Canis lupus familiaris: one gene and its partners. The protein of the gene in region 5 interacts with the protein of the main gene of each other region in a biochemical or structural test. Links are inferred from orthologs where the notes say so. Each region holds a gene or a part of one and is shown on either strand. Other genes may lie near its edges. The genes, in order: RUNX1, DDIT3, ATF2, RUNX2 and FOS.

Region 1 (5,580 bases), on a different chromosome or scaffold from region 5:
CCATGATCGACTGAAATAGAATGTTCTAGAAAAAGACAGTTTCCCACTTCTGAGGGAAAGGGGTGACAGGGGTTGTTCCAGGACCTGGCCCTATGGCCTTTCGCCCACGAGGCCGGTGCTTAAAATACTCAGTCGGTAAGAGGCCTCTCACTTGTGTGCTGGCCCTGTGTGACTCAGGCTGTTTGTGTTTACGGTCGAGTGTTGTGGGCTGCAGGGCTGAATCAGAGTCTAGATTTGCCTTGGTGACACATGAAAAGAGGGAGCATTGCATTTGAACTACACAAATATTATGCTTAAGTCGTTCTCCTCATTTCGGAGCCGACCAGGTCTTGTTCATGATAAAAATCACTGCAATATAGTGGGTCCTTTTTTTTGGTGTGGAATTTGAGACGGTGTCAACTGTGCCAAGGGGCCTGGCAGCGGGAAGAAACGGCAAGCCACGGAGATTTGGAACCATAATATAAGTTATAAAATTTAATTTTGTAATTGTAGCGACTGGGAGCTGGGCTGCGATCTACTTCTCCCACCCCGGGCTGGCGGGGAGTGGAGTCCAGGGATCCTCTTTCTAACTGAGGTCTGGGGCAGGGCATGTGAAAGAGCCCTTGATGGTGGCAACAGGCAGGCTGCTCCTCCAATGTTGTTTGGAGGCCACCTGACGATGGGGGGTGGGGGGGGTGCGGGACGGGTGTGTGAAATTGGTCAATGAGCCTTTATTCGAACCACAGAGGTGAGGAAGGAGCAGGGGCCTATCCTCTGAGGATGGTGGCTCTATCCGTACATCCTGAGCCTGGGTTCTGCTTGGCAGGCCTTGAGTCTCCAGTTTAAAGCCATCTTGTTGGGGGGATAAAGGGAGCAAACTGGAGGCCCAGCCCTCCCGGCCTGTCCCATGGGACTGGCCTCTGCTCACTGCAGGGGGAACACGGCAACACATATACTTACTGTCTATACGGACAGCTGAGTGGCCCAACTGTCCACCCTGGATTGCTGAGCCCCTGGGGGAAGCTCATCCAGTCTGCGGGCACAACCTCTAGGTTCCAGATGAGGCCCTGTCAACCCCCTCCTAGAGGGTACACGGGGGGAAGCGGGCTTCGGGGAAGAATGCTGAAGGATGCTCGTGAAAAGCTTTCGAGGAGAGGGAGCGAAGAGGGGCCGAGGGGCTGCCCATGCCCTGCATCTAGCAGGAAATCCGACCTCCCCCAGGACTGTGGGTTTGCAGCCACACCTCATTTCCTGTTGGACGGGGCGTGCGCTAAGCTGGGCGGCCCACTTTGCTGCCCGTGGCCGGGGTTGCAGTGAGGAGCGGCTGTTCTGATGCCACAGGGAGGGCACCTTTCCTGGCTGCCCTAGCTCAGCCCGCAGTGCGTGGCCAAGTGCCAACAATTAATGCACCTTCCCTCGCTCCCGACCTTACACCACCACGATCCCCGCACGCCCGCTGCATTCTTGCCCCGCGGGGACAGGCGCAGAGGCTTGGGGAGATGGGGCGCAGGCTGGGGCAGCACCCCGTGGCCTGTGATGAAAGGGAGCCCCGGCTGCTGTGGGGTCGGTGGCCCTGGATCTCCCCTGGGAGCCAGCCAGGTGCGCCAATCTCCAGCAAATCCACGTTGGGGGTGAGGGGGCAGGGAGGGGCAAGACAAGAGAACCCCGACTTTTAGCAAATCCACAATACATTTTCTGATCTTTTCCCTCCCTCCTTCCTTGCCTCCCTCTCCCCTTCCCACCCTCCACCCCCCTCCCCACAATAGGACATCGTCAGAAACTAGATGATCAGACCAAGCCCGGGAGCTTGTCCTTTTCTGAGCGGCTCAGTGAACTGGAGCAGCTGCGGCGAACAGCCATGAGGGTCAGCCCACACCACCCAGCCCCCACACCCAACCCTCGGGCCTCCTTGAACCACTCCACTGCCTTTAACCCTCAGCCTCAGAGTCAGATGCAGGGTAAGTACCTGGAGGAAGCCCGCTTCCCGCCTCGCCCTCGGGCCACACCCCCCAGACCCATCCTGGCTTCTGCTCCTTGCTCAACGGGTGGTCCTCGGCCCAGCAGCCTGGGAGCTGGTTAGACAGCAGAGTCTCTGGCCCGCCCCAGACCTACTGAGTCAGATCTGCACCGTAATGAGATCCCCAGATCGAGAGGCACTGGCACCTAGGATATGGAGAGATAGATATCTATGTGTAGATAATATCTTGAATTTTTTGAGTTAGCTTTGGCTCTGCTGTTTTCCTACCTACCCATGAGGCTTGAACACACACACACACCAAGCAAGGTGAAAGTCAGGACATTTCAAGTTCTTATTGCCTTCAATTATTTGTGGGGTTTGTATCTATATGTTATTGTTTTTTTTTTAATATAAAGAAATACTTCGATAGCCTGGATGCCATCACATCAAAGGTATTATTGACAATAAATAAATTTGCAATCAATAAAGAATGCAGGTGGGCCCCCCCTCCCGATACCCACATACCCGGGTTTAGCCAGCAATTGCAAAAACAGGGTAAAATGCAATAATTGCATAAAACATGCTGTGCCAAATGAGAGAAGACGCACAGTTCATTTGCACCATAGAAGCCACTCTTGTCTATGATGATTTGCTCTGCGATACCATTTCGAATTTCTGAAATCCAGTTGTTTTCTCTGTGCTGGGCAGGACGCAGCTGCGTACGATACGGTCACAGTGAGATTCTCCAAGCAGCGGGCTTGTCTAACTCAAAGGGAGAGATAAGCAACACATCTGGGGGAGAGGGCAGGTGGCCAGCCAGGGACATGCTACTTGCCCTCTGGGACCGCAGAAATTAGCTTCCCCGGGGGGTTTCTCTGCGCGGGTCCTATCGTGGGACATGTCCCGGTCCTGAGTTCTCTAAGGTTTTGGGACCAGTCGCTCGCTTTGGTGGTTAGGATATGCTTTTGGGGGGCTCTGGAAAGGCAAGCAAGCACCCTTGCACAGAGTCTGATGGCTCATGCCTCGAGCTCTCCTAGTTCTGCGTCTGGGGGAGGTTCTGTTATTTGAATGGAAAGTTTCCAGACAAGACTTCCTGTCAGATAGCAGGCACACAGCTGCTAAGTGGTCCATCTGAAGGGTGGCCCCCTTGTCCCCAAACAGAAACGTAAAGCTTGATTTGGGCGGGTTAGCTCTCATCTGCAGATGCATCTTCGGCGTATTTAGGAAAAGGCCTCCTTGAGATCCTCAGTTTTGTGGTGCTTATCATGAATACTTGTTCGAGATATGCATATTGATTTTTTTTTTTAATGCCAGAATGCAAGCGTGTACGGTAAATCCGATCGAATGGCACGTTAAGTGAGAGGGATGAGTGAGGAGTGAAATGGTCCTTTCCTTCCGAACAGAACAAATTCTAGAAGGCGATCCCCTGATCCTGTGTGCGGGGCCGCTGAAATTAATTTATGCCATCCTCAGACCTCCATTCGTAACATCAGAGGGAAGACTCCTGTTTTCTTATGGTCTCAGCCCATAACTGACAATTTATCCTACTGGGCTGAGTAAGGGTTTTTCCTCGCTCTGCTGGTATTGGAACCCAAACTATTAAGCATCTTTAAAAGCAAGGGAAGATGCAGGGTGGCAAGTTGCAATGGTCACCCTTTAGGCTGGCTTCGTGGCGGACAGTTTTGGTGAGGAATGAATCAGATCTGATTTGCCTCCTGGTCAGATAGGCTCTTTTTCCCCAAAAGAAGAGGGGGAGGGTGGTAAGTGAATTCTTGTCCTGGGCCGCCAGCAGCTCTCGGGTGGAGACATTACCAAGGCCGGACGGGCATTCTTCGGCTCTTTGGAATACTGTATGCTTAGCAGAGTATCAGGTTTAACACAGAGCCTCTCCCCTTTCTTGTTCCTTTTAAAAACTTTTTACTTCTGCAACATGTAAGTAATAATAACTTGCTTTTAGAGTGCCCTAGAGGTTTGGTTGCTACTCTAAAGAATGTGTTAACTATATTGCTGAAGCTCTTTCTTTCCAAAATATGATTTGCTCTTCAGTCCTTCACTTGTAAAATTGGAGGAACTTTTTAAAAATAACTACCCAGGATACATTCATGTAAAACTACTTTTCCTTTTTCTTTCTTTTTTTTATTTCCTATAAGAAAAAATGTTTTTTTGTTTTTTTTTTACCCTAGTCATGTTTTGAGTAGACCCGAGGGATTTTTTTTCCCCCTGAAATTAGAAAGTTAACAGGGATAAGAGTAAAGTCTCTTTCAGCCAGAACCTTCATTTTGTTCTTGACAAGTAGGAAAATGCTTATTTTCCTGGCTTAGCTCTAGAGACTCCATATTATACTTAAGAAGATGCTTTATATAAAAATCCAGCATGTGTTTATGGCTCTCTTTGAAATGGCAGTCATCGTTGTAAGAAAAATATCCCAGAGGTGGTCACGGCAATTCTTCAGCGGTGCCGTACGGGTGTGTGACTGTTTTCAGCACCGGGAAACGTCAGCAGCCGGGGCTTTGGAGGGATCGTGGGGTGACAGAGAGGCTGGGACCTCATCTGGAGAGCTATGTCTGCCCCTTGAACTCTGGCACTAGGAAATCACAGATCCAGAAAAACGCCTTTATTTATCTAGAATCAGATGTGCTCGAGAATCCCTCAGAATAGGCATCTCAAATTATCTGAAGCAAGGGAAGAGGGAGGGGGGGCAGGTTGCCATGCCACCAAACCACTGTTTATTTGTTGAGGTTTTAACTATTAAAAGGGCTGAGGTTAATATCAACTTCCTCCTTTACCAGCTCCTAAAATTGAATAGAAAGTCATTTTGTCATGGCTACGCGACTCGTTTGGGACGTCATCGCAAACTTCTCCAGGCGAGTCTTAGGGCTCTTGTTCAGTCGTGGGAGGGAAAATGGACACGTGTCCTTTTAAAAGATGCGACCAGCACAGATCCCAGCGAGATGAAGTCGCTGATGCTGGATCGGTCACACATGCTCCCTTAGAGATGGCTCCAGGCAACCCCAGCAAGTCATTTGAAGAATTTGCCTCTTGATTTACCAAAAATGATGAACCACATTTAAGGCTGCATGACCCCTTCCTTTCTGGGGAGGATACCCAATATTTGCTGATGCAGAAAACTGTCAAAACTGGACAAAGAGGCCAGTTTTGTTGTTCTCGCGTGCGTGGTCATAAACTTCCAGGCGTGAGGCTTAACTCTTTCACTGGACCAGTTATGGTGTATTTTGGCACAGGTCAGGCCTTTTGTATACATTATTCCGCTCTCACCACAATCCTGTGCTGTGGTTTATAGACAGAGCAACTGAACCTCAGAAGCTAACAACTGCCCAGAATCTCCAAGAGCATGAGTGACAGACTTGGACCCAAACCCAGACCTTTCTGGCTACAGAGCCAGGGCTGACGGGGTGGCAGTTTCTCTTGGATAGAGGATCGATTAGACACAGGGCTGACCAGTGTCCAGAAGAATCCCGATTGTCAAAGGGGAGATGGGAGCAGTGCTGGGCCGGACGTTCACTTGGCAGGACTGTGTTGGTTGTGTTCTGTAGATATCGCTAATAATGAGAACCTTAGGGCCAGAGTCTGTGGCGGGCACCTCGATAAGCTGTCTTTTTTTGACTGGTGTGTGTGGGGGGTGG
Region 2 (6,334 bases), on a different chromosome or scaffold from region 5:
TTATTTATTTATTCATGAGACACAGAGAGGCAGAGACACAAGCAGAGGGAGAAGCAGGCTCCTCGCAGGGAGCCTGATGCGGGACTCGATCCCAAATCCTGGGATCACGACCTGAGCTGAAGGCAGATGCCCAACCGCTGAGCCACCCCGGCGTCCCTAGCAGTTCTTTCTTTCTTTCCTTCCTTTCTTTCTTTTCTTTCTTTAGATTTTATTTATTCATAGAGGCACAGAGAGAGAAAGAGGCAGAGACACAGGCAGAGGGAGAAGCAGGCTCTATGCAGGGAGCCGGACGTGGGACTCGATCCAGGTCTCCAGGATCACACCCCGGGCTGCAGGCAGCGCTAAACCACTGCGCCACCGGGGCTGCCCCTATCAGTTGGTTGTATACTAGTATTCCCTCTCTGCTGCTTTTGCCCGGCATTTGAAGCAGCATGGGTGTAGAATACACATTCTTATGGGATCCTGGTAAAAGTCCTCAGCCTTCCTTGGGGGACTCTGTTGGTAGTTTCCAGGGGGCAATTATCAGACCATCTTGTGTTCCTTTCTCCTGTGTGGGGAGTCCTTTGGGTGAGTCTAACCTTGATGGGGACTGAGGTTTGTAAGACAAACCAATTCTTTGTTGGGGCTGACTGCTCACTCAGCCAGCTTTCAATTAGGACATGCTCTAAGAATAGTGATTTGGTCACCTAGTTAGGGGCAGGCCAGGAGGAGGGATGTGGCTGTCAGCAAAAGTCTGCTCAGATTCAAACTCTATCTTATCTTCTCTAGGTGTTTTCATAACTTATTAGGGCCCCAAGACAGGGACCCGAAGCGGCATCTCTTAGAAATTGGTTCTAGGAAAGGGATGGTTAAGTTTTCCTGCTCTCAAAAAAAAAAAAAAAAAAGTTTACCTGCTCTCAGGTGTGGTGATGTATGAAGATACACTTCCTTCTGGAACACTGTGGGGATCAAAGACAGAGGTTAGCCATTTTGGGAAGGGAGAGGGACAGTTCCTTTTATCTCCAGCCTCCTATCGGTCTTTCCTCACTTCTGTCTTACAGGGTATGGACAGTCAGTGGTCCCTGCAGCCGTTTCCAAGGACAGAGGAGAGCCTGACCTTTATTTTTAGTTGCTGACATTTGCAGTCCTGATTACATAATAGAAAAATCATGGCCAACTTGACTTTCTCTAAATTTAAGGTAGGCCTCAAACTGCCAGGGAAAAGACTGGACGACAGGGAAGGGAACAAATCAAGTTATTTTCCTAATTCCATTCCCACACTGACATCCTGGAAATACACATTTCCAGCCTCGACCTCTCCTGGGACCTACAACTGTGTTAGCTGCTTATTGCTTTTGGATATCTAAGAGGCATCTCAGACTTCATATATCCAAAGACAAATTCTGCTCACCTCTTCCCTCCATCTTCCCCATCTCAGTAAATGGCAACTCTACGTGCTTAAGCCAAAAGCATTAGTACTGCCCTTCATTCCTCTCTTACACCCAATTCAAACCACCAGCCCAATTTTTAAACTCATTCTTCAAAAACCAGAACCTGAATACTTCTCAAGAATTCCATTGTTTGCAATCTAGGTCAAGTTACTCTCCTCTGCTGGATTACTCAGGTTCCCGGCTTCTGCTCTTGCCACCCTGCCCCAAGTCTGTTCACAACACGCAGCTGGAGTGAGCCTTTTATTTTATTTTATTTTATTTTATTTTATTTTATTTTATTTTAATTATTATTATTTTTTTTTATGATAGTCACAGAGAGAGAGAGAGAGAGGCAGAGACACAGGCAGAGGGAGAAGCAGGCTCCATGAACCGGGAGCCCTATGTGGGATTCGATCCCAGGTCTCCAGGATCGCGCCCTGGGCCAAAGGCAGGCGCCAAACCACTGCGCCACCCAGGGATCCCTGGAGTGAGCCTTTTAAAACTCTAGTCAGGTCCTGTCAGTCTGTTCAAAACTCTTCAAGGACTAAAGTTCATGAATATTAAAGGCTAAAGGTCCTTAATATGGCTTAGAAGGCCCCACACAATCTCCTTCCCTGCCCTGGATTTCTCATTGACCACTCTCCCTCTAGTCCGTCCAGCTGGCCTGCTCCCTAAACTCTGCACACTCCCACCTTAGGACCTCTGTTCTCACTGTTCTTTCTCCTGGAAAGCTCTTCCTTTCACAAATCTGCACAGCTTACTACTTTGCCTCTTTTCAGAAGTTTCATTTAAATGTCACCTCTGTGAGAGAATCTCTAATGACTCAAGGTAAACATCCTGGGCATTCACTACCCTTCCATGCTTTGGTTTTCTCCTTGGCACTTCTATATTTGTTCGCTGTGCACCTTTTCCCACGAAATGTAAGCTCTGTGAGAACAGGTCTTTTCCTTGTTCGTAGATGCATCCTGGGCCTAAAATGTGTGGCACATAGCAGGTGTGTAATAAGTAATTTGTGAAGAATGAAAGAATTCTCCCCAGTGTCTCATAGGGAAGGGAGGAGGAAGCCCAGAGGCAGAGCAGCAGCTGCCCAGCCCTGGGGACTGGAGATGCAATATCTCCCAGAGTGTTTCTCTTCAGGGCTGTCCTCCCTGGGGGACCCTCCTTGCCTTCCAGCGTGTGGGATGCCGCTTTCATCAGCAGTGGGGCCCCAGGCCAGAGGGCTGCAGAGCCAAACAGGGGGCTGGCCTGATGCAACGGTTACACAGAAATTAGCTGGGAGGCAGGACGCGGGGAAAGCAGCAGGGACAAATCCCTGCGGAAGGACCCTACACTGGGGAGACCCCAAATGGCTTCCCACACTTAAGGGATCCAGAATGCTCTCTTGTGCAGGAGGCCCCCGGGACCTCTGGGGGAATGGGAAAACCCATCTCTGCTCCCTAGCCATTGGCATCCCTCCTCCTCCCAAAGTCTGGAGTCTGTCTCCTTAAGGTTCTCTTCTCCGTTAGGGTGTGGAATGGCTGTCCTGTGCAGGACCCAGGAGCTCCATCCACCGACGTGGCCACTCTGGCCCTGAGACGCTGGGCTGAGACAGGATTGGGGGTGGGGTAGGGGCAGGGCCGCTGGTGGGAAAGTGGCGGCAAGGGCGTGAGCCAGAGCCATCCAGGCGTCTCGGCGTGGGGGAGTGTCCTGCCGCCCCGCCTCCCACCGGACAGGACCAAGGAGGCGGCCTAGGGCAGCAGCGGAAGACAGGGAGTCTCCCGAGGGCATCCGGACCCCTTAGCCCGACGGCCCAGAGCCGGGCCCGCGCTCCGGGCAGGGTGGGGCGCCGCTCCCGTCCGAGGGAAGAGAGGTCTGTAAGCACCACTCCCGGATAAAGGATGCTCCCCGTCCCTCCCTCGAACTGTCACTAACTTCGTCGGGGAACGGGTGGGGCCGCATCCTGAGCAGCTGATGCCCCAACTTCGAAGGGACAACCAGCATCCCCGAGGACTAGAGGGTAAAGAGCAGGTGGGATCGGTACTCGCCTCTCTCCTCAGGTTCCGGCTCTGACTGTGGCTCTGTGGCTGCCACCCGCTCATCTTCAACATGATCCGCTCTGTGCCTTACACTCAAGCCTCTGACCTCGGAGGCCCGAGCGCGGATGTTTTAAGGAGGCCCTGCCCTCCCCTCGGGGGCGGGCCCGCAAGCCTGCCAATCAGGGCGCGGCACGCCGGCGCTGGCCCCGCCCCGCCCCCCGCGCCCGCCACTCAGCAGCCCCCGCGGCGCCGCCCCCTTCGCTCCCGCCGGCCCGGGGGTAGAGGTGGTGTCGGACCCGGAAGTGGCTTTGGGTCACGAGGCTCCGCGGAGGAGGCGAGTGAGTCATGCGCGCGCGCGGAGGGGAGAGCTGGGGGGGAGGGGAGGAGGGGAGGAGAGGGGGGCGGGGATGATGCAATGTTTGGCAACCGGTGTCTCGGCGCGCACGCGCAGGGGCCGACGAGGGTGGTGGGCGGTGCGGGGGGGTGGGGGAGAGGAGAGGGCGGGGCGCCAGCGCCGGGCTCCCAACGGCCCCAACGGCTCCCAACCGTGGCCGCCCTCAGGCTGCCTGCGAAGCCGCGCTGCGGCTCGTCCTCCTCGGCGCCCTTATTCCGCCCACCTGGCGTTAGCCCCCGCCTCGCCGTCTGCATGGGGGGCTCCCATTTTGCTCGGTCCCCTCCTAGTTAGTGGGCGCGAGGTCTTCTAAGCCAATCTCTTTTGAAAGTTTGCATGCAGCCACAGGACCGCCTAACGTCTCCTCGAGTAGGCGCATAGAAAGATCCCGTTTAGCTCCCTAATTCCCCCAGAAGGGGCCGAGGAACTTGAGTACTTTTGATGGTCATTTTCAGCTCCTCGCCGAAAAGCACCCCTAACTTTTATCTTTGTGAAGTTTCTGATGAGCGCTCAGCATGCCAGGATTCAGGACTTGGCCCGGTGGACGCGATTCTCAGCCTCCCCCCCCCCCCCCCCCGTACTCTGGTGCCTCCACCAAGGATCAAGACCCGCCCTTTTCGCTGTACCAGCCGCGCAGGTCCTGTGACTCCTGCGTGAGGAGCCGTGCACCCGCCGCCTGCCGCCTCGGTGCTCGGGCGACCTTAGAGCCTCGTTGCCTGGGACGTTGGGTGCACTTGAGCGCGCAGCCGCCTTGCACCGGGTTGTCAGGAGCCCAGAGTCTGGCCTCACCTGCCCCTTTACTTGCCCCCTAATATCTGTGCCACAACCGTTCTTGTTTGTAAATAAAGGATGACGAGTTGTGAAGGTAAAACGAGAGCACTATGAACTTGGAGGCAGCTTAAACAAAAGTGAAAAGCATCGCTTAAAATGCAAACGTTTTTCTTGTGCCATTAGAGAGAAAAAAGATGCCATGTGGCGGCCGGTTGTATTCACTGTCATACCCTCACGGGGGCAGCCAGAGTTAAGTAGAATCTGTCACAAGGCCGGTTGTGGCTGCAAGGAGGTTTAGGTGGTGGTGTGACGGTGACAGGTCCTCGGCCGGGCCTGCTCCGTTGCTCCAGACCTCCATTTCCCCTTCAGTAGATGGGGGTGGGGGTGGGTTGGACCAGATGGTCTCTCCTGGCCCAAAGACATGACCAGGTTGTCAGTGACAGGCAGAGGTCATGTGACTTGACAGGCGGAGGTCCTGTTGTGACATGTTGACCTGGGGAGGCGGGTCAAGTCCCAGCACACTACCCGGGAAGCCTTTGGGGCGGGGCAGGGCAAGTCGCGACTTTCATCTTTTGGGGCCGGCCCCTCCCGGACCCGGCATTCCTGGCTCCCCCGACAGACTGTGGCTTTGGAAGGGGCCCCTCCCCGGGGAGGGCTGGGATTGGCCGCCGGTGGCCTGGGAAGAGGCTCAGATCCTTCCGCGGAGGGCGGGGGGGCCGCGTGGGGTGTTTGTTCTCTTGGGGATTAATGGGGGGTTGTGGGGGAGGGGTAGGCGCGCTCCCGCATGCGCACTGCGGCCCCTCCTGTTGGCTCGTCGTTGTCCGCTGGGCGGGGGCCCGGCCCCGCCCCTCTCCCGTCCGGGCAGCGGCGGCGGCGGCGGCGGCGGCGGCTGCGGCGGCGGCGGCGGCAGCGACGGCGGCGGCGGCGGCGGCAGCCTGCGCGGTGCCTTCTGGGAACGGAATCCCCAGGGCTGCCCCTGGCCCCCATGGCGCATGCGCGGGAGGCCGCTCGGTGATCCGCGGCGGCGGCGGCGGCGCTTCCTGCTAGGACCGGCCGGGGCCGTACCGGAGGCTCGGGCTCCGCCGACCCTCCTCCCACTCCCTCCCACTCACCCTCTGGGCCGCGACTGCGCAGGGCGGGGCCGGCCGAGCCATGGGCCGCGGTGAGTGCAGGGCCCGGCCCCCCCGCCCCTCCCCCTCCCCTCCCCTGCTGTCCCTACCCTCTGCCCCCCGCGTCCTCGGCCCCTTTCCCGGCCCCATCCCCGCCCCCCCGCCCTCACCTGCCCCCGCCGTCTCTCCCTCGCACTGCTTGACTTTTGCCTTCTTCACCTCCCTCCCTCAGTGCTTCGCCCACCCTCCGCCCGCCCTCTCCCCAAGTTCCTTCCTACTTCGTGCGCCTTCCCCTCCTCCCCAGGCAGAGGGAAGCAGGCTGGGTGACAGGGCGCCTTGTTACGAGAGGGAAAGTTTAGGAGCCGCCGGTGTGGGGTGGGAGCGATGGTGAGGCTGGGGGGCTGCTTGCAGGCGGGGGGGGGGGCTGCGTCCCCACTTGGAGCCAATTTGAAGCCGGTGGGGTAGGAGGTGCTGAAGCCCCTTGCCTCGGGCTTGGGGGGAAATCAGGAGCTTCTCGGGATTCTGGGAGAAGACAGAGCTAGGTTGCAACCCTTCCTAGGAAGATCAAGTGAAGCAGATCAGTGATCGTCTCATGGGGCGGGCATGGGGGCTTCTGTTCGTACCACCCTGAGGGCCGTT
Region 3 (6,281 bases), on a different chromosome or scaffold from region 5:
TCTAATACTAGATAGGACTAGTACTTTTATTTTATTTTATTTTATTTTATTTTATTTTATTTTATTTTATTTTATTTTATTTTAATTAGGATCTATGATCCAGACTTTTTTTTTTTAAGGTTTTATTTATTTATTCATGATAGAGAGAGAGAGAGAGAGAGAGGCAGAGACACAGGCAGAGGGAGAAGCAGGCTCCATGCCAGGAGCCCGACGTGGGACTCGATCCCGGGGACTCCAGGATTGCGCCCTGGGCCAAAGGCAGGCACCAAACCGCTGAGTCACCCAGGGATCCCCAGTACTTTCATTTTAATTTGGGACATGAATAGTGTTAATATTCTAGCTTCTTTTTGGTCTCTTGAATAATGAAATTAGTTGTTTTTTTTAAGATTTTATTTATTTATTAAATTTAAAATTTTTTTAAAGATTTATTTATTTATTTATTCATGAGAGAGAGAGAGAGAGAGAGAGACAGGCTGAGAGAGAGAAGCAGGCTCCATGCAGGGAGCCTATGTGGGACTTGATTCTAGGTCTCCAGGATCACACCCTGGGCCGACGGCAGGCGCCAAACCACAGAGCCACCCGGGCTGCCCAGTGAAATTAGTTTTAAAAGACGAGTGAGTTGGCTCACATACGTGTACACAGGCCAGAAACCTGCTAAAATGTTCAGTGCCATGAGAATTTCACTTTTATGCCAGATACCATTATTAAACTGCAAATTAACTTTTCAAATACGATACCCCACAAACTTCCAATAATTTCAGTTTCACTTTGACTTGGATGTTTGAGAGTGCATTTTACATTAATACACAAACTTTACTCATAACTTGTCATAGACTAGAAGTCATATAATACATGAAAAACCAAGGCACTGAGAAAATCTAACTTTAAAGAAATCATTATAACAAATGTTTGTGGGAGCCCTTGATCATACTTTCCATTGTGTCCATTTATTGAACAATCAATATCCCCACACTTGACGTCGAAATATTTAAGTTATATAAAGAATCATAGAGCAACATTAAAAAATATTTTCAGTACTATTCTTTGTGTTTTCATGAGTGTATCTGTGTCGACTGCAGAACAGAAAATATGGTATCTTTTGTCCCTCAAGTTAAATTAATCAAATGGTCTCCCTTCTCTAACTCTTTTTTAAACAGCTACTTTCAAAGCTTGACAGACATTTCTTTGTCATCGTAGCAACCTAGTGAGCACTGGCTAGTATTATGAGAAGAGAGCCATTTCTAGTCCATATTCTAATTTGGTGTTCTTCGGTCCCCAGTAAAGGTTACTAAGGAGTTGATGTTTTAAAAGTTTGAAATTATCTGCATTAAAGGTGATACGTTTAAAATCTGTAACTACTAAGTAAAGGGAAATTGATAGAATACACCTTCCTAAGGAAGATTTTCTCTTGCAAGCAACTCCTTGAGCTGTTTCAACTTACAGTTATATAGTGGGGGGCGCTGCATTTCATATCCTTCCGGGTACCAGGCGTTCAGGAGCCGGAACAACCAATATCAGCGATAGCTTCGTAAAATTTGAACAAATGCCATCCAAAGGCTTTTTCATTTCTTTGTAAAACTGACTTTTTTTTTTTTTTGCAAAACTGACACTTTTTTTTTCTTTTCTTTTCTTTTTGCAAAACTGACTTCTCTTGGGACTCCCGGGTGGCTCAGCGGTTGAGCCTTCAGCCCAGGGCGTGATCCTGGAGACCCAGGATCGAGTCCCGCATCGGGCTCCCTGCATGGAGCCTGCTTCTCCCTCTGCCTGAGTCTCTGCCTCTCTCTCCATCTCTTATACATAAATAAATAAAATCTTAAAAAAAAAAAAAAAAAAGCTGACTTCTCTTTCCCGCTTCAGGCGTGTGGAGGCCTTGAGGGGGAGGGGCATTTTGCTGCAAACTCCGCCTCTCCCAAATCTCAGCTCCACGGAACCTCCCCGTCTCACATTTCAGGGCAGCAGAAAAGTGGGTCCAGGCGCGCGCCCGCCTAACGTTTTGCCCTCCTTCCTACCCAGGGCCCGGAAGGGACGGCAGCAGAAATACTGGGCTCCCGTGACGGAGCTCGGAGGCCTCCTCGCGCCTCCCCTCCCGCCACTCGCAGCCTCTTCCGCAGGTCCCCTCGTCCTCGGCGCGCACCGTCAAGCCCTTGGGCCACCCCGACATCCACCTGTTCCCGCATCCACAGCCCCGCCAGTCTCCAGCCCCAGCCAATCACAGCCTTCCGCAGGTGACGGAGGCTCCTCCCCTCCGGCTCCTTCGGCCCCGCCCCCTTCCGGAACCGCTTCCCGCCCTCTGGGCTCCTTGACCAATCGTCTGCGACTGAGTGGCCTTTGGTTCCCGCCCCCTCCAGCCCCTCCCTCCTCAGGTCCCGCCCCCTGCCGCTGAAGGCTGACGGCATCACCTGACCCGGAGGCGCTCGGTCGAAAGGAAGGCAAGAAGGGGCGTGTGCGCGGAGGGGAGGGGCGCGAGAAGAAAGGGGGGATGCCGGGAGCGGGGCGGGGAGAAAGGGGTGTCAGTCGGATCTCGCGAGAGAGGACGGAAGCCTGTGGGAGCCCGTGGCCTTTAAAGTGCGGTTCAGCCCTTTCCTCCAGGGGTAGTTTGTAAACACGGCTGAGCTCGGGCCTCCCGGGCGGCAGCGAGAAGCATGAACTAGCGACCTGGGAAGGTGAGTAGCGCGGGCGGAAGGCCGCAGGGCTGCGGCTGGAGGGAGAGGGAGAGAGAAGGCGCTAACATGGCGACGTCGCTCCGCGTAGTCCCCACCCCCCGCTTCCCATCGCCTCGGGCGCTCCTGCCTCGGTGCCCGGCCCTCGGGGCGACCCAGGCCGTCCCGCCAGCTGCGCGGCAGGCGCGGCGTCGGCGGCGGGGAGCCCGGCCGGCCCGGCGGGCCCGTTATAGGGAACTGGCGTTCGTCGTTCCGGCCCCTCCCCGCTCGCGCGCTTTCCTAACGAGGAGGAAAAAGGAATAACGGCGCCTCTTAGACCCCTCCCCCCCGGTTCGCCTTCCCCTTCCCCGGTTAGGTCGGAGGTGTCCGGGCGCCCCCACGCCGCACCCCCGGGGGCGCAGGGAGACCCCCGCCTTCAGCCCTTGGATCTGCAGGGAGAGGGCCGGCTCGGGTCTCCCCGCCCAGGACTCGGGGGTGCGGGGACTGTGTGGGTGATGCTGGCGGGGAGGGGGGTCGGGGTCCCCGCCTGCGGCCGCGCCGACGGCCTGGGCAGCCCGGGAGCTGGAAGTCCCCGCCGGTTCTGTCCTTTCTGCCCCCTCACACTCCCGCCACCCCCCGCTTTTTCCCTGTGGGGCGGGGCTGAGGTGTGGGTGCAGATTGATTCTGGTATTTTCCCCCATTTTCTTTCTTTTCTTTTTTTTTTTTTTTTTAAACCTCCCCGCACGGACTGCAGAGCCTCTGTAGGGTAAATAACCTGTGCCTTTTTTTTTTTTTTTTTTAATGCCCTAGGGACCAGGGCCGAGGGAGTGACTGTGTGTGTCTGTATTTTTTGTGTTAGCTCGTTGAACCGACGCTAGAGGAAGGAGAAGGCGGAGGAGCTGGGGATCATTTGTGTCCTTAGATAGTCTGAAATTGCTTTCGCTTGGGGGGCGGGGGCGGGGGGGGGGGGGAGTTGAAAACTGGTTGAGGCCAAGCGCAAAACTACCGTCAATATGGTAGAGTAAAGGGATTACACCTGATGGACGACCTTCGCCCTGTTGACTGATAGTTAAATCATAATGTGAAAGTCCTCATTTCTTGGGGGTTTTAAATTATGGAGACGGTAACCGTGCGTTGACTTTAATGTACACACTTGATGTCCAGACAAACCTGTACCTCTCTGAGTGCACTTTGTGTCCTGTGTGAAGAAACCACTGGCACTGTCAGTAAGTAATAGCCTTTCTAGGCGTCGTTTTTAAATAGCCGTGTAACCTTGGTCCGTTGTACCAGAACTTGAAGGTAATAAGCTTGTTCAAAAGTCAGCCCTACAGGTTAAGTGACCTGAAAGGCAAACACAGTAGCAATTCCATCTTGTGATTACATTTGTTACACTGATTTGAGGAATCCGCTGTAAACACTTCGCAGAACTGCAAGAGTATCTTTGTAAAGGATGTTTAAAAAAAAAAAAAAAAGAGATGCCCTCTTACAGATAAAGAATTAGTTAAGGATGTTCTTGAATCTTTAAGGTCATCAGTAATTGAGTAACAATTAAAAATCTTGGTCTTTTTTTTTTTAAGATTTTATTTATTAAAAAAAGAAAGATTTATTAATGAGAGAGAGAGGGAGGCAGAGACAGAGGCAGAGGGAGAAGCAGGCTCCATGCAGGGAGCCCCATTTGGGACTCCATCCCAGGACCCCGGGGTCACGCACCTGAGCCGGAAGGCAGATGCTCAACCGCTGGGCCACCCGGGCATCCCAAAAATCTTGGTCTTTGTAATTTATAAGAATCTTACAAATTTATGGTTGTTTGTATGCTGCTTTCCGAAGACCTGTTTTATCTTGCTTCGAGAGGATTACGGCCATTAGATTTTTAATTATTTGAAATATATTGTGGTAATTTAGAACATAGATGTTTGTATTTGTCAATAAGGAAGGAGCTTTCAGGAACTGTGTGTGTGTGTTTTTAAGGTACATGTGTCTTCTGTAGATCTCATTGCATTTCTTGGAAATTCTTTTTAACCTTATAAGAATGTATATTTCATCCTTGGGGCACTATATCATAATGTATTAAATATGTAATCCAGAAATTCCTGTATTTTCTTTACTTGGAGTATTTGTTTCATATTTTTAAACAGTACAAATTAAGATTATTATGTCAGCTCTTTAACATAATTTGGAGGGATGCTTTTTCTTGGTATTCAGGATTTAAAAGCTATCTGAATATCATTTTTAAAAATGTTATGCTAGGGGCATCTGGGTGGCTCAGTTGGTTAGGTGTCTGCCTTCGCTTGGAGTCATGATCCCAAGGTTCTGGGATGACCCCCCGCCCCACTCCTTGCTCAGCAGGGAGCCTGCTTCTTCCTCTCCCTCTTGTTAGTGCTTGCTCTCTCCTCGCTCTCAAATAAAATCTTTAAAAAAAAAATGCTACACATCAAATGTCTACTACCTATAACTAGCATTAAGTCTCAAGAAATAATTACATTTTTTCCTACCTAAATTGTTGTATTTTGAAAAAGTTGGGTTTTAATGATTTAGATGTTCTCTGCTGATAAATTGTTAGATTATATTAGATCAAATGTGTCGATCTTATCTGTGTCATTTTGAGCAAATAATACAATCCCCCCCCCCTTTTTTTTGGTATATTTTTTTATTGGAATTCGATTTGCCAACATATAGTATAACACCCCGTGCTGGACAGCCCAGGTGGCTCAACGGTTTAGCGCCGCCTTTAGCCCAGGGTGTGATCCTGGAGATCTGGGATCGAGCCCCATGTCGGGCTCCCTGCATGGAGCCTGCTTCTGTCTCTGCCTCTCTCTCTCTCTCTCTCTCTCTGTCTCTCATGAATAAAAAAAATAAAATCTTAAAAAAAAAAAAAACAGGGATCCCTGGGTGGCGCAGCGGTTTGGCACCTGCCTTTGGCCCAGGGCGCGATCCTGGAGACCCGGGATCGAATCCCACATCAGGCTCCCGGTGCATGGAGCCTGCTTCTCCCTCTGCCTATGTCTCTGCCTCTCTCTCTCTCTCTCTCTGTGACTATCATAAATAAATAAAAATTAAAAAAAAAACAAACAACTTGTCAACATACAGAATAACACCCAGTGCTCATCCCGTCAAGTGCCCCCCTCAGTGCCCGTCACCCAGTGATCCCATCCCCTCCACCACCTCTCCTTCCCCTATTCCTTGTTCATTCCCAGAGTTAGGAGTCTCTCGTGTTCTGTCACCCTCTCTGATATTTCCCACTTGTTTTCTCTCCTTTCCCCTTTAATCCTTTTCCCCATTTTTTAATATTCCCCCAATGAATGAAACCATATAATGTTTATCCTCTGATAATCTCTCTTTTTAAAAACTCATTGAATAACAGTAATTGGATAGTTAAATGATCCTTAGAAATTAATACATTTAGTACTTGTTATGCTATTCACTGTCATTAAAATGTACTATTTTAGTTTAACTTGGTTTTTCACTTAGTATTTCACACCTATTCCTTGAGACTAAGGACTTACTTAAAATGCTGCATGTTTTCTTAATGTAATTCTTAATGAGGGGTATAGTGATAGTATTCACTTATTTTCATCCAAGGGAAAACCCACAAAACATTTTATTTCTTTTGCTCTGTTTCTTGAGCTCAAGGTTAAAAAGTTA
Region 4 (5,580 bases), on a different chromosome or scaffold from region 5:
ATTTTTAAAAGCATTGGTCATTAGCAAAATGTAATTAGCAGTTAAGGGTTAGAATACAGAAATCAAACATTTCAAGAACCCAGGGATTGCCAAATCGTAGAACATGCATTTTTCTTATATATATTTTATTAGTCATCATAAGTCCCTTAAAATCATATATAAACACTTTTATATATGTATCCAAATGCTTCCATACACACATATGGTCTAAAATAATACTATAAAGACAAAAGGAGAGCCATTTATGGACCTTAATCAAAGATCTAAAGCCCACTACTTTAAATGCAGTAGCACCTATAGCTACAAGCTTTATGTTTACAAGTTAGTGTGAATTTCACCCTTGCATTTTTATTAAGGACACATGTCTAGTAAAGGCATTAGCCTTTTGATTCCTACATATCAATATTTAGGGAATTATTTAGGCTAATAAATGGCTACTCTTCACAGAGCTCTAATGTTCTTCCCTGACGCAGATATCTGGTTCTCTTTAGCATTTAAATAGTTTATTTTTATAATTCTGTATTATTTTTTAAATATATACTCAGGTATACCCTTATATGCAGACTAATATACATACACTCACTCTAAATAAATATCCAAGAAGACGTATATCTAATATGGGCAGGAGAGATAGAGAGGTAGGTCATCCATTTATAAACAATTATGTTTATAAACCATTAAGGACACTTAACACCTAGCCACTATGAGGGAAAACCTCACCATTAGAACAGATCAATGTTGAGAGTTTACCGTACATTTTGAGTTATTTTCCCTCCATTCCAGTCCACCCTTGCCAACAACAGAAACCAAATGACATGACTAGGTGACATCAGCTCTCAATACTTGTGATCAGCAAATTAAAAATCTATGATGACTGACACACTCCTCTGTCACCATGATCTAAAAGCAATCGCACTAAAAGCAAGATCTGTTTTTGCACAAATGGGGCAGAAAAAAAAAAGAGAGAGAGAGAGAATTGGGAGTCTTACTGCACCAAACATGAATGATTAGTCTGTAATGCAATGCTGACGTTAATTTTTAAGAAGAAAGGTAGTAAGCAGCTTACTAGAATGTAGTATAAAAAGAAATGTCGCATTAGGACCCGGGGCTAAATGTGAATCAGCAGCAAATTCTGTTTGCCTGATGAGCAGCTCATTGACCTTGCCTTACACCCACCAATCAAGGCTTCCTGTTAGCCCTGGGCAATCTTCAAGCAAACTTAATGAAATAGTTATACATGTAAGAAATTTAAGCCCAAGTCTGAGACAGTAACACTGATTTTCTAATAGCGAGGGTGTGATGCTCTCCTCTGCGCCACCCAGGGCCCAGTACAGAAACTTATTAATGAACATTCTCCTAGAGAGCATAGTTATTACCCTCCACCAGTGTGCAGACTGACAGTGCTCCAGAGTACAGCATTCACAGCAACTTCCCCCAAATTTTATCCCCAAGTTACTGCATACTGGAATTTGTTTTTCGTTAAAAAAAAAAAAAAAAAAAAAAGAAGAAGAAGAAGGAGGAGGAGGAGGAGCGAGAGGAGGAGGAGGAGGTCCATAAGATCTTCACGTCTTGATTCTTTAATAATAAAGCCATTTCAGAGCCCAGGAGTATTGCAGTGAGTGCGTCTCATGTGGCAGCCCCTCACCCCCAGCCTGCCGGAACGTGTGCAAGTGAAACCTAGGAATCTGTCTTACCTGTAATCTGACTCTGTCCTTGTGGATTAAAAGGACTTGGTGCAGAGTTCAGGGAGGGCCGTGGGTTCTGAGGCGGGACACCTACTCTCATACTGGGATGAGGAATGCGCCCTAAATCACTGAGGCGGTCAGAGAACAAACTAGGTTTAGAGTCATCAAGCTTCTGTCTGTGCCCTGGAAACAGCAAATCATAAAATAAAAGCATATTAATTAGCTGAACAATTGACCATACTAAATAGATATGTGAACATACATACTGGGGGGTTAAGCCAAGGAACCATCAATACTGATATTTATAATGAAGTGTCTCTATAATGCCTTCTATCGCAAGTGGTTTTATAAGCATCATCTGGTGGCAAGCATTCCTACTCCTCTGTCCTATGAATGGAGAGCCGAGGGTCCCAGATGGTGACTCGGGAGTTGAGTGCCAGCAGCGAGGCCAGGATGCCGGAACTCAGGAGAGACTCTCTGGGTGCCTCCTCTAACCCTCTTGGCGATGGTGGGAAAGGTGATTGTGTACTGGGATGTGTCTGCCTGTTTCACGAAGGAAGAAATTTCCCCAAAGTTCAAAGAGTCTGTGTACGTCACACATATTCTCTCAAAACTGGGGCAGAAACAGAGACAAACACATTTGTCAAAGGGAAATTTCCACAATGATATAACTGACTTTTTTTTTTATTACAACTATACCTTACTGTGACTGCTTTCTGAAAAATTAAAACTCAAACCTTTAAACCCCTTTAAGAGGAAAAATATGGAAATATAGTGAAGGAAACTCAAATTCTCAAGAGGAATCTGGATATTTTGTGATACCCCAAAACCTAAAAGCACATAAATAAACTATGTTAAATCAGAGAAAATGCTTTTTTAATTTTAAATCTAGTACTATGATTCTGTATAAGAAATAGAAAAATACCATTTGGGTTACCATGTGAATGTGAGAATCCATTATTAAAAAACAAAAAAACCTTGTCTCTCTTCCAGTTTATTCAAGTCTAAAATCTAAGGAAGTTCTAGATTTTAAAGAAATATGCAAATTACAATATAAAGAAGGTTCAAAGGCTTTTTGAAAATCATGAAATCATTCTGAGCAGAGTACAGTGTTGTCTTGGTGCAAGTATAACAGAAAAACATCTGAATATTGGTGCTACATAAGTTAAGTGCACACCTGTGGAGTGCCAGAGTGGTGAATGAGTACGATAATGCCTCATATGTGAACAGAAATACACTGTAGATTCCTTCTTCCATATTCTGTACCAGAATGAGGCCCTAGTCTGTCACCGCAACATACTGTAACTGAAGCTGATTCAAAGAGCCACTAAGGGGCACCTGGGTAGCTCAGTCAGTTAAGCGTCTGACTCTTGAGTCATGATCTCAGGGTCATGAGATTGAGGCCTGCCTCAGACTCCGTGCTGGTGAAGCCTGCTTGAGACTTTCTCCCTCTCCCTCTGCCCCTCCCCTCTCCTCTCGAACAGGTGTGCATATACACGCCCTCTCTTTAAAAAACAAGAGCCATTAAGATGATGACTGGAATCAGAATTTGCCTTCTGAAGAAAAAATCAGGGAAATCAGGATTATTATCCATAAAAAAAAAAGAAAAAATAATGGAAGGAGGATTATTAAGAGCCTTTGACAGTGAGGAGGTATATTCTATGAGTATCAAGAACACCTCATCCTCCTCTCAGTACAGGACAAGAGCAATCTATCAGGAGAGGGTTAAGGTGAACATTAGAATTTCCCAGCTATAAGCTGTCTTCATAAGACAGATTCCTTATTTTATTTGCCCCAAAATGTATTTTCCTGTCTCCTTTTTCATTGCCTACCCAGCCCAAAGAAAACAGACAGGAAGCCAAGGCTTGGAAATATGAGCGTAGCTGTCTCCGCAGCCAAACATGTTCCAAATAGGTCCATTAACTGAAATGCGCCCACCACCCTATTTCCTGCCAGCATCAGTTTGGGGCATCTGCTGGAACTAGGAACTGAGATCAGGAGAAAAGTTACCAAGCGAATTCATTGTTTTTTATGCTGTTTTCCCCATTGTTTAGGACTTCTTAACCAGATTATGAATAGATTTTGGAACTTTCCGCAGTCTTTAGAGATTGCCCCAAACAGCTCCCAACCCGCAGCCAGCAAGATGGTCATAGACAAAGCAACTAGGGCCGGCAGAGGTGAAACAGCAAGCCTGTGGTCTTTAGCCATCAGCAAGCTCAGCCTGGATGGTATATGGTTCCCGTCCTAGCTAACGAAGTTGCCCAAAATATCCATATCGACAGAAACACCTGTGCAGGGCCAAGGCTGGTTTTCAGCATGAGCAGAAGTAGCAGCGAGGATTCAATTACAACTTTAATAGCTCACCCACTACCCTAAACAAACTTCCGCTGATGCATCTTGCTATGTCTAACTAGTTTCACAATTAGGGAATTACAGAGTACTTGTCACAGTTAGATCCGTGGATTCTGTTCCCCATATACATAGAAAAGAAAAAAAACATTGCTGTGGTGTTGATACAGCTGTAAACATTAACAAGAAAGCTTATGGAATTGTCCCTGGAAGTTATTTTTTTTAATAGGCCATATTTTTGGAATGTCAGATTCCCTGAGGACTAAGGAGAGGACTACATGAGCCTGCATGGTTCCTTTAAACACTGGGACTTTATGTGGGCTATGGGTCACAAGAAAACTTAATAAAGCCTTGCCTCTGCTTTCTACAGCCTTTTCATTGGGTTTTCACAGAGACTGGATGAGATATGAGCTCAGCATATGGATGGGTGAGTACCCTTGCCATTTCCTCTTAGCACAGTGCTTTAGGGGAGCCACAAGAGGCTGTAGGCAAGAATAAAGGACTTGAAACAGCACTGATAAGGATGAAAAAATGTAAGAGCAGGTGAAATTTTAAAAGCCTCAATGACCTTATGGAAACTACCTTCAAACAGGAGCTACCAAGTACCTACAGACACCTAGAGTAACTCAGAGAATATCTATCTGCGGTTGCGTACGTATAAAAAGAGGTATGCGTTTTTCCTTGTAGATGTCTGCCCCTTCATAGCCAGCACCACAACCACAACAAAATTCTTACGGTACAATGAAGAACAGAAGCTGAAAGGGTTCTTCATCTTTCAACCATGACAAACACCAGCTACCGCTAAACCACATCAGGGTTAGCATGAGAGTGATGGGCTGAAAGAAGACCTACTTAAATCCTCCATACTCAAGTACTCCCTTAAGAGACCGAGAACATGGAAGACAAGGGCACAACAGAGTTAAATCCAAGACTCTGCAATGGTACAGGGAGAACTGAACCTCATCCGAAGGGCCGAAGACTGTGTCTTCCAAACAGGAGGAAGGTATAAAGAATGGGAAACTTATTTCCTGGAGCAGTGGCTCTTCTACTCCAGCTGGATTAGGAAATCCTCCAGGGAGCTTTGAAAAATATAGACGTCCAGACCCCACCTCGGCTCAGTTAAATCAAAATCTCTGGCAAGTGGGTCCCAAGGAGTTATTTTGTAAAAGCTTACTTATTAGCACAGGATCTGATGTGCAGCCAAGGCAAAGGACCACTGCCCAAGATGATCTCACAGTCATGTACTTGATGCCACCTGTTCATGCTAGTGACTCCCCCATCTCTGAGGTAAGCCCTCACCTCTGTCCTGAGTTCCAGGTCTGTAGGTCCCGCTGCCTACTGAACTCTCCTCTGGGATGTCTAAGACATCTTAAATGCAGTATATTAAAAACAAAATTCTTGACTCTTCTTGCCAGAGAACCCTATTCCTCTCCAGGAGTACCCTCATTTGAGTAAGTGGCACCAGCCACTCATTCACGGAAGCCAAAAACCTAGACATTTTCCTTGATTTCCCCTTATCTGTCACTCCCCACATTCAACCTATTAC
Region 5 (6,044 bases):
TCCTTCTCCTTTTTGATAAGGGATCAAACAAAGGGGCGTGTCCCCCTCCAGGAGCTACCCTTCTGGACGAACTGGTCTCCAATCCCTTTCAGAATCTTACAAAACTTCCCGAATGAAGAGCACAAGGTTGGTCGCATTCAACTTAAATGCTTTTATTGACAATGTCTTTGAACAATAAGCAAACAATGCTTAAATTTTTCATTCAAATTCACTTTCCACATGTCAAAAGACCTCAAGGTAGAAAAAAATAAAATAAAAATATAAATATCTGAGAATCCATCTTAATAAATAAATTAAAAACACAATAAAACGTTTTCATGGAAAACTGTTAATGTCAGAACATTCAGACCACCTCAACAATGCATGATCAGTAACGTTACAATGAACATTGATGTTGAAGAAAAAACTACAGTACATGGATAGAGCTATTTATTTCTATCTACTAGAAAATAAAGTCATATCTTTTCTTAGTTTAATATTGGTCATTGCTAATCAGAACACACTATTGCCGGGAACACAGTAGTTATTGTTAAAATCAGCTGCACTAGATACAATTCGAAAATATCCAGCACCAGGTTAATTCCAATAATGAACCCAATAGATTAGTTAATGCTATGAGAAGACTAAAGAGAAAGAGATAAGAGACACAGACCCAGGCCTGGCTCAACATGCTACTAACTACCAGCTCTCAGATGTGTCACTGGGAACAATACACACTCCATGCGTTTTGCTACATCTCCGGAAGAGGTAAGGACTTGAGGCCGCGCGTGGATGCTTTCAAGTCCTTGAGGCCCACCGCCTGGTGTGTTTCGCGCACAGATAAGGTCCTCCCTAGGTCTACGGGAACCCTCGAGGGAAGACGTGTTTCTCCTCTCTGTAATGCACCAACTTGGGCAGTAGCACCCTAGGGTGCCTGCCGCCTCCCCTCCCTGCCTGCTCACAGGGCCAGCAGCGTGGGTGAGCTGAGCGAGTCAGAGGAGGGTTCGTTGCTGCTGCTGCCCTTGCGATGAGCGGCCGCACAGCTGGGGAAGGAGTCAGCCTCAGGGTAGGTGAAGACGAAGGAAGACGTATAGGTAGTGCAGCTAGGAGTACAGGTGACTACGGGGGTGCACAGAGGCTCGGGCTCTGTGGCCATGGGCCCCATCCCCAGGGAGCCACCATGCAGGGGCTCCCAGTCTGCTGCATAGAAGGAACCAGACAGGTCCATGTCTGGCACGGAGCGGGCGGTCTCCGAGCCGCTGGGCCTGGATGATGCTGGAAACAGGAAGTCATCAAAGGGCTCGGCCTTCAGCTCCATGCTGCCGATGCTCTTGACGGGCTCCACGGAGGGCTTGGGCTCAGGATCATTGAGGAGGGGCAGGGTGAAAGCCTCCTCGGACTCCGGGGTGGCAGCTTCGGGCAGGCCCCCGCTCAGATCTAGGGAAGCCACGGACATCTCTTCGGGGAAGCCCAGGTCATCAGGGATCTTGCAGGCAGGTCGGTGAGCTGCCAGGATGAACTCTAGTTTCTCCTTCTCCTTCAGCAGGTTGGCAATCTCGGTCTGCAGAGCAGACTTCTCGTCTTCTAGTTGGTCTGTCTCCTGTATCCAGAGGGACAGAGCAAAGCATAAGACGCGGGCCTACTCAAGGGCCCTGCTCCCGGATACCCAGTCTCCAACTTTCCCCCTAAGTTTGAAAAAGGAGTGACCCACAGGGTCTACCTACCGCTTGGAGCGTGTCAGTCAGCTCCCTCCTGCGGTTCCGGCACTTGGCTGCAGCCATCTTATTCCTTTCCCTTCGGATTCTCCTTTTCTCTTCTTCTTCTGGGGACAGCTAGAAAAACAATTTCCAAAAGGCCAACAGTCAGTAACAAGGTCTGCCATCAGCTGGGTTCAGCCACCCCGGGGTGAAACTGGTCCCTGCAGCTTCCCAGCTTCCTGGCACCCCTGCGAGGAAGCCATTTCTAACCTGCACTTGCGGGCTGGGTGTGACTTGCATTTAAAATAAGATCCTTAGCAAGAGAACAAAGAAGAGCCCGGTCTAAAAGCTGGAGAAGGAGCCTATGAGGGAAGAAATACTACCAGAGTATTTCTTGGGGTAGGACTATCAGAGTCCGGCGTGGGACGGAAATGGCTTGGAGCCAGGGTTCCTCGTGGAGGACAGATAGGTGGTGACTCCATCAGTGGCTTCGCCCTGCCCACGGTGCTCCCCAGCTCCACCAATGCCAACCCACGCCCCCTACTGAGAGAAGGTGCTGGAAGAACCGCTCACCTGTTCCACCTTGCCCCTCCGGCCAATGCTCTGAGCTCTGCCTCCCGTCATGGTCTTCACAACGCCAGCCCTGGAGTAAGCCCCAGCCGAGGGGGTGGGGACTCCATACGGGTGGGGGGCTCTGGTCTGGGACGGGGCCACGGAGGAGACCAGGGTGGGCTGCACCAGCCACTGCAGGTCCGGGCTGGTGGAGATGGCAGTCACCGTCGGGATGAAGTTGGCACTGGAGACGGCCAGATCGGTGCAGAAGTCCTAGAACGGAACAGAGGGGGCAAAGCTGACGTGAGGGAGCAGGTTCCGGACACAGGTGCGGCGGGCCGGGCGTCCAGTGCCGCATGCAGCGGCGGAGAGCGGAGGAGAAGCACGCCCCGGACTGCTCGGGGCTTCTGATGTGCCCCTCGTCCTGGAGGCAGGGGGCTCTCCGTGTCCTCCCAGGAAGCCCGCGACGCAGCGCGTTTCTCCTCCACCCTGCTGCTGCGTCCCCGTTACCCCTCCGGCATCACTCGCCTGAAAGGGGGTTTGTTATAAATATCCCTGACGTCTGCGCTGACGCAGGCGCCGCTCCGGAGTCTCCTGAATGAACTCGCTTTTTATCAATGAAACTGCCTTACACACCCGCCGGCTTCACCCTCCTCCCCCGCCCCTCCTCCCGGCTCCGGGCTGCGCGGGGAGGGGTGGGGGCGGGGGGATTGCCGCTTCCCGTCGCCTCCCGGAGGAGCCAGGCGCTAGTTCGCGAGTCTCGGCCTGGGACACGCTGCGCCCCGGGTAATGCCAGGGAGCGCGGCCCGAGGGCGGCCCCAGCCGGGCCTGCCGCGGGAGAGGGGGGCCGATCCTCGCTAGGACAGCGCGCGTGCGCCCCACCGAGTCCGGGGGTCCCGCGGTAGGGCAGCTTCCCCCCCGACTCGCCTTCCCGAGCGTCCCGCCCCGGAGTCTCCGCCCTGGGGTCGGACCCTGCCCCGGGCCCCGCGGCGGCGCGAAGCCAGCCTCACCTGCGCATTGACGGGAGAGCCCATGCTGGAGAAGGAGTCGGCCGGTGAGTGGTAGTAGGAGAGGGTGTCCCCGGCCGGGGACGCGCTGCTGCAGCGGGAGGAGGACGCCTCGTAGTCGGCGTTGAAACCAGAGAACATCATGGTCGCGGTGAGTCAGGGCCGGGGCGAGGGGCTGAGGGGCGGAGACAGGCCGGAGCTGTGGGGCAGAGCTGGGTGGGAGCGCGGTCACTGCTCGCTCGCTGCGCCGCGGCCGCCGGCTCCGTCTCGGCTTCTCGGCTGCTCGCTGCAGATGCGGTTGGAGTACGAGGCGCCGCAGCACCGCATTTATAGCAGCATTCTATGAATGAGCCCCCACCCACGTCATGGGCGCAACCATCGCGGCGCCAGGGGGGTGGCCGGCCGACCTGCGCACGCCTTCGGCCTCCTTGCCGCCGCCGCCGCCCCCGCCGCCCCCCACTGCCCGTCTTAATGTGGTCCCTTATCTCCTGAGCGATCAGCAATTTGGGTCTCCGGGGTCCCGTGGAGCCCCCGAGACGAGGGACTCCGGGGACGGCTCCCCCCACGACCGCAGGGAACGGCCGTGGAAACCTGCTGACGCAGATGTCCTAATATGGACATCCTGTGTAAGGGGGGACGGATTGACGGGAACTGCTCGCCGGCTGCAGCCAACACCGAGGGTGCAGCGCGGGGGGAGGCGGGGGCCGCGGCCGGGGGAGGGGAGGCGGGAAAGGAGAAGAACGCGAGCGAACATTCGCACCTGGTTCAATGCGGACCCTTGTTCCCCGGGCGGGGTGGGGGGATGGGCCGGGAGCGCCTTTTTACCAGTATACGGCGCCCCGGAAATGTGCTGGGGCTCAGGTATGGGAGAAACAGGTACACAGCCCGAGGGCTTAAGCCTCAGCCCCAGAAGGAATGCGCCGCCTCCACCCCCGCCCCCGGCCATTCCGGATTCTACCCTGATTCAGTGCACCCCGTGAAAGCAGACCCTCAAGCCCCCAGTCCGCAGCAGTACTAGGGCTGTTACTGCATTTGGAAGCAGAAAAGTCGGGAAATCCGAAATAAGGGAATACGTACGCTAACCTACTTTATCTACGATGTTGGGTATTTTAATTTTAATTGTTTTGGTTTTTTATTTTTAGGGAAAAAAGCGCATTTTTTTTTTCTCGGCCATACTTAGGGACATTAGCGATACCGTCAAATCTGAGACGCTAGCCAGTGAATATTGGGCAGAGCCTCCATGCAAGGATATCTGATGGGTTCGTTTGCCTAGTTCTGAGCTGGGGCCCGGGGAGTGGGATGCGATTCCGGGGGTGCTATGTGGACAAGGTGGTCAGTTGAGGGTACCGGGTGGAGAGAGTTCCCCGGGGGAGCGCAAATCCGAGCTGGGAAGTTAGACGAGGCTCGGTTCCCCCAGGAAGCTGGGCTTACTGGCTGCCCACAGCGGGTGATTTTCCAGCGCAGACTTGGGGGGGGGGGGACCGGGGGCGCTGGAAGGACTGTAGCCAGCAGCTCCCAGGAGGGAGACCTCGGCCGCTGTGGGACCTCAGGCGCGGCTCTGTGGCCTGGAAAACCGGGTTGGGGCGGTCGGGGGCTCGAGCGTGCGTTGCACCCCCAGAGACCCCCCCAGCCTCCTCCTCCGCTGCAAAGGACACCTGGGGTCACATTGCCCCAGCCCGGGTTCCAGCGCGCGGCCTCCTCCGGGGCGCGAAGTCGCAGAGCCCAGCGGAGCCCCCGTGTGCCTTCCCCACTCTTCCGGGCCCCGGGCTCGCGGTGGACCCCTGGAAAGGGGCGAGGCGGGACTAGGGCCGCGGGCGGATCCCTCGGGGCGCGCGGGGAGCCGGACCGCCGACCTGCCTCCCGCCGCCGCACCCCGGAGCCAGGCGATCCTGCTATAGATAGTAACAGGGAAGCGGCTGTTTACAGCAACACTGCGCCGCCAGGGCTGTCTCCAGGCGACGCCGCGCGGCCGGGCGCGCCGTCGGCCGGGCCAGGCCGCCCTCCCTCCTCGCTCCCCCGGGGCCTCGGCCTCCCCGGCCCCGCCGCGGCCACTCCCGCCGCCTGACATCATCCTCCGGGTCCGGGGGCTGCGTGCGGCTCGCGCGCGGCTGTGCGCTAACCTCCATTCTTAGAGATGAGAACCCGGCGGGAGCTGGGAGGGCAGGGAGGCGGGGATTCGTGGAACTGGGCCACTTGCTATTTTTGCATTCCCTGTCACAGGCAGAGGTGAAAACAGAATTTCATCATTGTATGTCACTGGTTTATGTTGGTGGGAATTCAGGCGCTTTTTTTTTTTTTTTTTCCTCACTTAAAAAAGGAGAGAGAAGGAAAAACACATAATACATAAACACAGACTTCTCGGAGGTGCCCTGAACCCTAAAACAATTCTTCGGCTTTTAGTTCTCCTAATTCTTTATCTGTCAGGCTACTTCACTGTCCTTGATTATTTAATTAACAAAAAAAAAGTTATGAGAGTTGAGAGCAAATCCATCTCTCTTCTGATTAGCTCCGACAAAATAGGTCAAGCTTTGAATTCCTGGGTCTGGCCTTGCCTTCCATTCATAAATGGATCTCAGGCCACTTAAGAGAAAACCTAGAATGATTTTATTTACTTGTCCTTTAGAGTTTGAATCGGCTCAGCCCAACACCTAAAGACTGTGTCAAGATTTTATATCCAGGATTTATCCCATATCTCACTTTATACTGTCTTTGTCAATAAAAGGAAAAGGGTCTTTGGATGAGCCTGTGTCCTCCAGATGGCTTAACTCTTTCCTTCCTTCCTATGACCAGAGAGTTGGAGAGTTAATAA

What was found.
Region 1: the proteins of FOS (region 5) and RUNX1 form a complex in vitro, tested with the Homo sapiens proteins (2 studies listed by BioGRID). The link is inferred for Canis lupus familiaris from reciprocal best matches to the Homo sapiens genes FOS and RUNX1.
Region 2: the proteins of FOS (region 5) and DDIT3 form a complex in vitro, tested with the Homo sapiens proteins (2 studies listed by BioGRID and IntAct, with this or other methods). The link is inferred for Canis lupus familiaris from reciprocal best matches to the Homo sapiens genes FOS and DDIT3.
Region 3: the proteins of FOS (region 5) and ATF2 form a complex in vitro, tested with the Homo sapiens proteins (3 studies listed by BioGRID and IntAct, with this or other methods). The link is inferred for Canis lupus familiaris from reciprocal best matches to the Homo sapiens genes FOS and ATF2.
Region 4: the proteins of FOS (region 5) and RUNX2 form a complex in vitro, tested with the Homo sapiens proteins (2 studies listed by BioGRID). The link is inferred for Canis lupus familiaris from reciprocal best matches to the Homo sapiens genes FOS and RUNX2.

The regions. Positions count from the first base shown.
Region 1 is NC_049252.1:29,879,034-29,884,613, reverse strand, and holds part of RUNX1 (runt-related transcription factor 1), read left to right. Parts: intron 1-1,745; coding exon 1,746-1,937; intron 1,938-5,580.
Region 2 is NC_049231.1:1,961,750-1,968,083, forward strand, and holds the start of DDIT3 (DNA damage-inducible transcript 3 protein), read right to left. Parts: upstream 4,544-6,334; 5' UTR 4,442-4,543; intron 3,763-4,441; exon of another isoform or gene 3,680-3,762; intron 3,584-3,679; exon of another isoform or gene 3,434-3,583; intron 939-3,433; 5' UTR 891-938; intron 1-890. UniProt on the Homo sapiens protein: Multifunctional transcription factor in endoplasmic reticulum (ER) stress response. Plays an essential role in the response to a wide variety of cell stresses and induces cell cycle arrest and apoptosis in response to ER stress.
Region 3 is NC_049257.1:19,436,897-19,443,177, reverse strand, and holds the start of ATF2 (cyclic AMP-dependent transcription factor ATF-2), read left to right. Parts: upstream 1-2,493; 5' UTR 2,494-2,663; intron 2,664-6,281. UniProt on the Homo sapiens protein: Transcriptional activator which regulates the transcription of various genes, including those involved in anti-apoptosis, cell growth, and DNA damage response.
Region 4 is NC_049233.1:13,984,624-13,990,203, reverse strand, and holds part of RUNX2 (runt-related transcription factor 2), read right to left. Parts: intron 1,869-5,580; coding exon 1,695-1,868; intron 1-1,694. UniProt on the Homo sapiens protein: Transcription factor involved in osteoblastic differentiation and skeletal morphogenesis. Essential for the maturation of osteoblasts and both intramembranous and endochondral ossification.
Region 5 is NC_049229.1:48,646,523-48,652,566, reverse strand, and holds FOS (proto-oncogene c-Fos), read right to left. Parts: upstream 3,540-6,044; 5' UTR 3,380-3,539; coding exon 3,239-3,379; intron 2,502-3,238; coding exon 2,250-2,501; intron 1,812-2,249; coding exon 1,704-1,811; intron 1,580-1,703; coding exon 938-1,579; 3' UTR 132-937; downstream 1-131. UniProt on the Homo sapiens protein: Nuclear phosphoprotein which forms a tight but non-covalently linked complex with the JUN/AP-1 transcription factor. In the heterodimer, FOS and JUN/AP-1 basic regions each seems to interact with symmetrical DNA half sites.